Ovis aries: one gene and its partner. The protein of the gene in region 1 purifies or fractionates together with the protein of each later gene. This does not show direct contact. Links are inferred from orthologs where the notes say so. Each region holds a gene or a part of one and is shown on either strand. Other genes may lie near its edges.

What was found. The genes of interacting proteins can lie anywhere in the genome.
Region 2: the proteins of DRG1 (region 1) and NTMT1 purify together in Homo sapiens (affinity purification with mass spectrometry; 3 studies listed by BioGRID and IntAct, counting the BioPlex papers as one, with this or other methods). This does not show direct contact. The link is inferred for Ovis aries from reciprocal best matches to the Homo sapiens genes DRG1 and NTMT1.

Annotation. Positions count from the first base shown.
Region 1 is NC_056070.1:70,085,720-70,089,367, forward strand, and holds part of DRG1 (developmentally-regulated GTP-binding protein 1), read left to right. Parts: intron 1-1,374; coding exon 1,375-1,505; intron 1,506-2,542; coding exon 2,543-2,710; intron 2,711-2,975; coding exon 2,976-3,098; intron 3,099-3,648. UniProt on the Homo sapiens protein: Catalyzes the conversion of GTP to GDP through hydrolysis of the gamma-phosphate bond in GTP. Appears to have an intrinsic GTPase activity that is stimulated by ZC3H15/DFRP1 binding likely by increasing the affinity for the potassium ions.
Region 2 is NC_056056.1:6,888,821-6,892,568, forward strand, and holds the start of NTMT1 (N-terminal Xaa-Pro-Lys N-methyltransferase 1), read right to left. Parts: upstream 2,784-3,748; 5' UTR 2,720-2,783; exon of another isoform or gene 2,638-2,719; intron 2,500-2,637; exon of another isoform or gene 2,332-2,499; intron 1-2,331. UniProt on the Homo sapiens protein: Distributive alpha-N-methyltransferase that methylates the N-terminus of target proteins containing the N-terminal motif [Ala/Gly/Pro/Ser]-Pro-Lys when the initiator Met is cleaved.

The sequences.
Region 1 (3,648 bases):
GCAGAATGAGCAAGTAGAAGAGTAGCAAGAAACGAAGTCATAGCATAGGGCCATACATACTTCTACTTTGCAGAAGATGGTTGGGTTCCTGTCTGTGGAATAAAATTGATTCAGGTTTTAATGGAATCAGTCTGGCTGTTTGTTGAAAACAGACTGAAATGGGTTAAGAGGAAAAACACAGAACTCATTTAAGAGGTTATTACAATAATCTAGTCAAGAAATGATTGTTTCTTAGAGTTGTAATAGTGGAGATGTGGAGTAGTTACTGTGGAAAGATTTTGGAAATGGTTGGTAGGAATTAACAGCTAAACTGGATGTGGGTTGTGAGAGAAAGAGGTGATGGTGAGTTTTTGTTATGAGCTAGAAAATGGACTCTCGTGACTAAAATGGTAGGATTTAATTGTAGAATAGGTTTGGAAGGGAGGGGAAGATCAGATATTCAGTTTAAGATGCCAGTAACACTCAAGTTAGACATCCAGATATTACTGTCAAATAGGCATTTGAGGAAAGATCTTGCTGCAGGTATAAATTTATTGGTTATCAATTTTAAAGCCATGAGCTTAGCTGAGATCACTTAGCTGAGAAATGGAGTATAAATAGAAGAGTTTCAAGGATTGAGCTTTGTGATACCTTCCTCCACCCTCTCACAATGATTAGAGGCCAGGAGATGGGAAGAATCAGCAAATAAAACTTCTCAGTCAAGAAAGAAAATCAGAAAAGTTTAGAATCCTGAAAGCCAATTAAAGAAAGTGTTTCCGATTGGTAAGAGTGATAGATTCTATCAAATGCTCCTTCTAAGTCATATAATTGAGGATTGAGAATTTCTTGTAACATCTAATATTCTAGAGCTCCAGACTGGCATAGACTTAAGCTGTCCTGCCCCAGAGATCTTTCTTATTATCGTCTCATAATGTTTGAGTTGGAGCCTTCTTTCTGTATTTTTGCTATGGCTGCTGTAGTAAAGTACTGTAGAGTGGGTGGTGTAAACAGCAGAAATTTAATTCTCTTGATTCTGGAGCCTGGATATTTGACATCAAGATATGAGCCGTACTGGTTTCTTCTGAGGCCTCTGTCTTTGGCTTATAAATGGCTGTCTTCTGTGTTTTCATATGATCCTCCCTCTGTGTGTCTGTGTTCCAAACTTGTAAGGGGGGACATGAGTCATATTGGATTAGGGCCCACCCATATGACATTTTAATTTAATTACCTCTTTAGATTTTAAGTATTTCCTACTCAAAGCCTGTCTCATCTAGGATAATGGTCTTTAGAAATAAATTTGCACTTATCTAGACTTATCTGGGTACATCAACAGATACTTTTAGATTTTTTTTTTTTTTGCTCTCTGACCAGTTGTTGTTTTCTGTGCCCATTCAGTGCCCTCAGAGTGAGCTGGATGCTGAAACTGTGAAGAGCATTCTGGCTGAGTACAAAATCCATAATGCCGATGTGACCCTGCGTAGTGACGCCACAGCAGATGACCTCATTGACGTGGTGGAAGGAAATAGGTAACTGACTAAATGGTGCCTGAGTTTGAATTTGAAGCCTTGTAATGGAAACAACATTGGATTGTGAGTCTGGCAGACATCAGTTCTAACTCTGGTTGTGCTCTTATCTCAGATAATAGTGGGCCTTGCTTTCTTGATAAAATAAAGGGTTGTTCTTGATTGCTGACATCCTTCTTTGCTCTGAAGTTTGATGATGATTATCAAATTGCTTGTTTCAGTTACTTGGTATGAACTAGACTATCCCCTAAGCTCTGTGTTGTATGGTGGTTCAAGAGAGTACGTCCTCAGTCTGCTCTCACAGAATTAATCCATCTGAGAAATTCTATAGGCTGTTCTGCAGAACTTAGAGCAGACTGGGCTGTATCTGTTTTCTCTAAGAGTACATAACTGAGATCTTACATAACATGAGACATTACTATTTGAAATTAATAATTGAAAGTACTGTTAAGTTATTTCTGGCATTTGAAAACAGACAAAAACTGGTGCTTTGAGTTACGTGTTTTATAAGTGAGGCAACTGAAGCCTGAGAAGTTGTAGCTCGCCTAATTATTAGTAACCTTAGCTGCCCTATTGATTGAACAGTTAGGATTGTGACATTGCTAGATGTTGTGTTTAAAAATTTTTTTTTTAATTCTTGAAGTTATTATATTATTAGAAGTGTTTTACATTCTTACAGTTCATAAAACAACTGGGAAATTAACTGAGATCGCCTAGGGACACATGTCTAGAAAGTGACAGAGCTGGGAATACATTCTGTGTGACTCTAAAGCTTATGTTATTTACACTGCAGCATGCTTTTTCAGTAATTAGTTGCATGACTAGGGACTGTGGCTTGAGTTTTGTTACTTAACTGATAATTCACTTTTTGCATGTTCTACCTTATTTAGGTAGGAAACGTTTTCTTTTTTTGGCTGACTTTCTCATGATTCCAGTTTAGAGTCTCTGATTTTGAGTCCCAGGTGAGGGGCTGTTGAGTCAGACTGACAGTCTTGTCCACAGCTCCAGACTAACATACTGTTTTTCTTCTATTTCTGTAGAGTCTATATCCCCTGTATCTATGTGTTAAATAAGATTGATCAGATTTCCATTGAGGAGTTGGATATTATCTATAAGGTGCCTCACTGTGTACCCATCTCTGCCCATCACCGCTGGAATTTTGATGACCTGTTGGAAAAGATCTGGGACTATCTGAAACTAGTGAGGATGTAAGTCTTAGTGGAGAGGGTATTATTACTGTAGGACTTAAAGCAGACTATCCAAAAATAATACCTGCTAGAGCTCATTAACATAATCTGTTTTTGGAGATAAAAATAAATTAATTCCTATCATCTGCAAGGCCATATTGAGGGCACCTTCTCCCTCAAGATAGAGGTTATCCATGTCTGATCTCTGGGTTGATGGAGGGTTGAGTTGTGTTCACACATGAAGCATTCTAAGAAGTAAGCAGCCTCTGCTCCCTCTGTGTTCTAGTTACACCAAACCCAAGGGCCAGTTGCCCGATTACACATCCCCAGTGGTGCTGCCTTACTCCAGGACCACGGTGGAGGATTTCTGCATGAAGATTCACAAAAATCTTATCAAAGAATTTAAATAGTAAGTATGATGGCATGTGGTGCCTTCTTTTCCCTATGAGCTTTCTTCTAATGAGTAATTCTTAAGATAGAGTTATAGAAATTAGGCATCAGGAAATGCTTGCTTGGTTAGAACCTTTCAATGTCTTCTTAAATCTAAATCAAAACAGAAAGTGACACCATGCCAACTTGGAGCAGGAAGAGCCCTAAACACCTTTTCAAGTTGGGAGGGCTGACAGTACAGATTGCTCTGAGGTTCTCTTGTTAATTCATTTTCCTCTTGGCAAACACAAAATGTAGCATCATATTGGGCTTCACTGGGTACTGAGGGCCCCCTAAACCTTTTGGATAAGGAAATACTCTCTTGATAGAGTTTTCCTAGTATGGCTAAGGAAGGATATCCTACGTTTCTTACCCGTAACCACTGATGGTTCATAGGCCCAATAAAAACCAGTATTCTGTAACTGACATTGCATTTGTAGGAATCAATTTCCAATCAATTATTTCAGGGTATTTCTCTGTAACAAGTCTATGCTTTCTCCTTTTATTTTTAAATTAGTCTGATCATACTT
Region 2 (3,748 bases), on another chromosome or scaffold:
GTGGGTGGGGTCGGCAAGGCCAAGTGGACTCCCCGGCCCTGGCCAAAAGGGGCCACGGCAACTCTGCCACAGCGTCCCTCCCGGCCCGACCACCACCCAGGAAGGAGAGCGCCAAAGCCAGCTCCTCCACACCACACAGCAGCGCTCCCCCTCAGACAAACTTCTGCTTCCGTACTTGAGTCTCTCCCCCCACTGGACTGGGAGCTGCCTGAGAAAGCAGAGGCAACACCCTGGAATGTACCACTGTATTTCTCTCGCATTCCACACAGCTCACAGGTATTCAACAAAATTCCCTGCCGATCAAAAGAACAGAATAATTGTGGGACAATTATTATCATTATTATTATTAATTCGGGGTGCACTATCCCCCTCTGCCCCGTTGTTTGCCTTTCCTCCCAGCAGACATGGCTCCTGGGCGCAGGGACACTGCCTCACACACCCTTAGCCTCAGACCTGATACAAGGGGGCGGTTTACTAACTGGTTGCTGAAGGAATCAAAGAAGGACCTTTGTGCGGCTACAGCCATTCTGCACTTTTCAGAAAATCCTACAAAGATGTACCCGTTCCAATGTGATAACACTGAAGCCCTTTACTGACAGTATGATTTTTTGCTTTACCAAGAGCCGTACAACACGATTCCTTTAAATGCCAAGGCCCCCTGAATGATCTCATCGACAGGAATCCCACTGACAGGCAGAGTCTGGGAATAAGCCAGGGAGGCACATCCGGGCTGGGAAACGGCAAGGGTGACTTTGCCATTTGTTCTAACAGCTTAGATTCATTAGTAAACATGACTCCTGGGGCCCTGTCTACACTGTACCTCCTGGCATCCAGACTGGGGTGGGCAGGAGGTCCCTAGGAGGCAGAGGGGACAGCAGTTATTGATCAAACTGCAAGAAGTCCTCCTACGCTTGGTCCAGATCACAGGAAGGAGCCACGTGGCCGCAGGGATGCGAAGGGGCCTGGGCACAGTCTGGCTTCGTGAGTGCTCTGAACGAGCTCAGAGGAGAAGAGAAACCCTTTGCTCATTAGCGAACTTCTGCTTCTCAGAGTGGAATGTGTCTGGGCATCCTTCATGGTCATCTCCCCACTCCAAGGTGTTCAGGGTGACTGACCCTGAGCAGCCGCCCCAGCAACTACTCTTCTTCCAGCATCCGTGACAGAGAACGGTGTCTGAACTGTCACTACCTGTCAGTGGAATTCTTGTAAATGAGATTATTCAGGGGACCTTGACATTTAAAGGAATCATGTCGTAAAGGAGGAAACAAGGAAGACGCAACAAAGACAGGAGGAGATTAAACTCTGATGGTGAATGAACCAGGTCTGAACGCTGGCTCTGCCTCCCACTGGCTATGCAAGCTAAGACATAACCTCAGTTAAGCAGGTGTCTTTATCTATAAAATGGGAACAATATTGACTTTACAGGAGGGCTGTGATGATTAAATGTGGATATAAAAGTGAAAAGTGATCCAGACACTGCTGGGCACATATTAATCTTAAAAAAAAAAAAAAAAAAAAAAAACAACCTCTGTCCAATGATATGCTCATCAATTCTCTCTGCTAAGTGTGAAGATCTAATGAGAAAATGTACTGAAAGGCCCTTATACACCGTGGCGTGTTGATCACACCTAAGGGATTATTCCTGCTACTGCAGGTGGTCAATCCAGTCGCTCACATGGCTCTGCCAATGGCAGCAGAGGGGAGCGAGCCTCCAGCCATGCAAGCACAGAAACCCTCAAGGTTTTGGTGACTCCAGGGCTTCTGGTCGCCACCAAAGCATGCCACATGTATTTACTTCCAACCCTCCCATAGTCCCTGGTACACACAGAAAAACCATTCACTAAAATGGAGCGATGCACACACACAGGAAACCAGGAACAGAACAAGGACAGAATCCAGACTTCTGACCCCCCTCAAGGTCCCCTTTCTCCCAGGGGCTCAGGCCATCTCACTGAGCAGACTCTATACATCCAGACCACGTGCAGTACAGCCCAGCCCCACTGGCAGGGCCTCTGACACCAGCTGTTTCTAACCCTTGTCTTACAGACACACCAAGATCCAGAGAGGCGCAGCTGACTGGGCAGCAGAGCTTGGGCCTTCAGATTTATGGCAGCCTCTCTGCCAACAGGCTGACCTTGGCTCCAAGGGCTCGGGGGGCCGGCGGGCTCTCTTTTGAAATAGCACCTCTGTTGAGCCGTCACTGGGGTCGGGTCCAAGGTGAAATATGAGAGCGACGCCTGTGTAACGGGCACGATACCCTGTGCCCGACTGTGATCTGAGCGGTTTTCCTGAATCCTCACACCCACCCTCCTTTGCGGGTGCGCGCCTTACCCGTCTGGCACAGGGGAAACTGAGGCTCAGACAGGGAAAGGAACTTGCGGCGGCGGGAGTCGGCGTGGGGCCAGTGCCCTGATCAGGCTTGCGGGGTCTCAGCCTTCCTCCACCCCGGGACCCCGGGGGCCCAGGGCCGGCCGGCGGACCTTCCGCGAGCGCGCACGTGGGGCCGAGCCCGCTCGCGCTCGGGTCACGTGAGGAACCGGGGAGGCCTCAGGGCACCCAGGCGGTTGGGGTCCGGGGCCTCCCCTCTCCCGGCAGCCACTGTCTCCGCCCCACCCCGCTCCGCCTCGCGCTACTCACCCCGGGTGGGGGCTCCCGGGACGCGGGAGAAGAGGACGGGGAAGCGGAAAAGAGGGGGGCGGCGGCGGCAAAGACCCCCCACCTGCCCACGACCAGCTCCGTCCAACCTCGGCTAGAAGCGACACCTCGCGGCGCGCGCCGCTTTTGCCCACTTACGTCACTTCCGCTCTTCTGAGGGCGGGGCCGCCTCGGGCTCCGCCCCGCGCGCGACTTGTCCCCGCCTCTCCCCCCCCCACCCCGCACCCTTGGGCTTCGGCCCTAACTCGACAACTTCCCTGCGCAGAGCTTATCCCACCTCCGGCTTGTGCACCAGCTCACTTGGAGCAGGCTTAAAAAGAGCATTTTGTGGGTCTTCCACTGGGTTACAAAAAAAAGAGGCGGGGGAGAGAGCCTTATTCAAGCCTTAACTCTACCCATAACAATTAACATCCTTAAAATATACAGATCCAAAAAAAAGTAAAGGAAAAATACCCTTGACAATGCCAAGGGGTTGCCACTCCAAATAAGCGGAACAAGTCCATGATGTTTCCATTTCGAAAAGGTTGCCCTTTCCTAGGTTCCTCCCAAACACAAATTCTGAATTGGTCCCTGAAGCAGTCGAGATGAACATGTGAGTTTGCAGGTGGAAGACCTTGTGAACCTCTCCAAGCCTCAGTCTCTACTTCCGCCAGATGCACAGAATAATTGCTCATTTTTCAATGCTCGAGGGTTACATCTGTGGGATACTGTGAGTTGAGCCTTCAGCCCTGTGTGTGGAGCCTGCTGTCGGTAAATAGAAACTGATTCATAATATTGGTCACTGTATTCATGTATAGCATAATATTCACAATATTTATCATAAATTCTTTTTTCCTAAACTGATATCCTGGCTTAGAGTTACAGTGCCTCCTGGACACTGCACACAGGAGGTGCTTAAATTGTGTTTGCTCTAATGAAGTGAAAGCTATAGTGGGGCAGTGGGGTGCCCTGAAAAGCCCCACCGTTTTTTGTTTTTTTTTTTAATATTTATTTGGCTGAGCTGGGTCTTAGTTGCAGCATGTGGGCTCTTAGTTGTTGCATTTGGGATCTAGTTCCCTGACCAGGGATTGAACCTGGGCCCGCTGCATTGGGA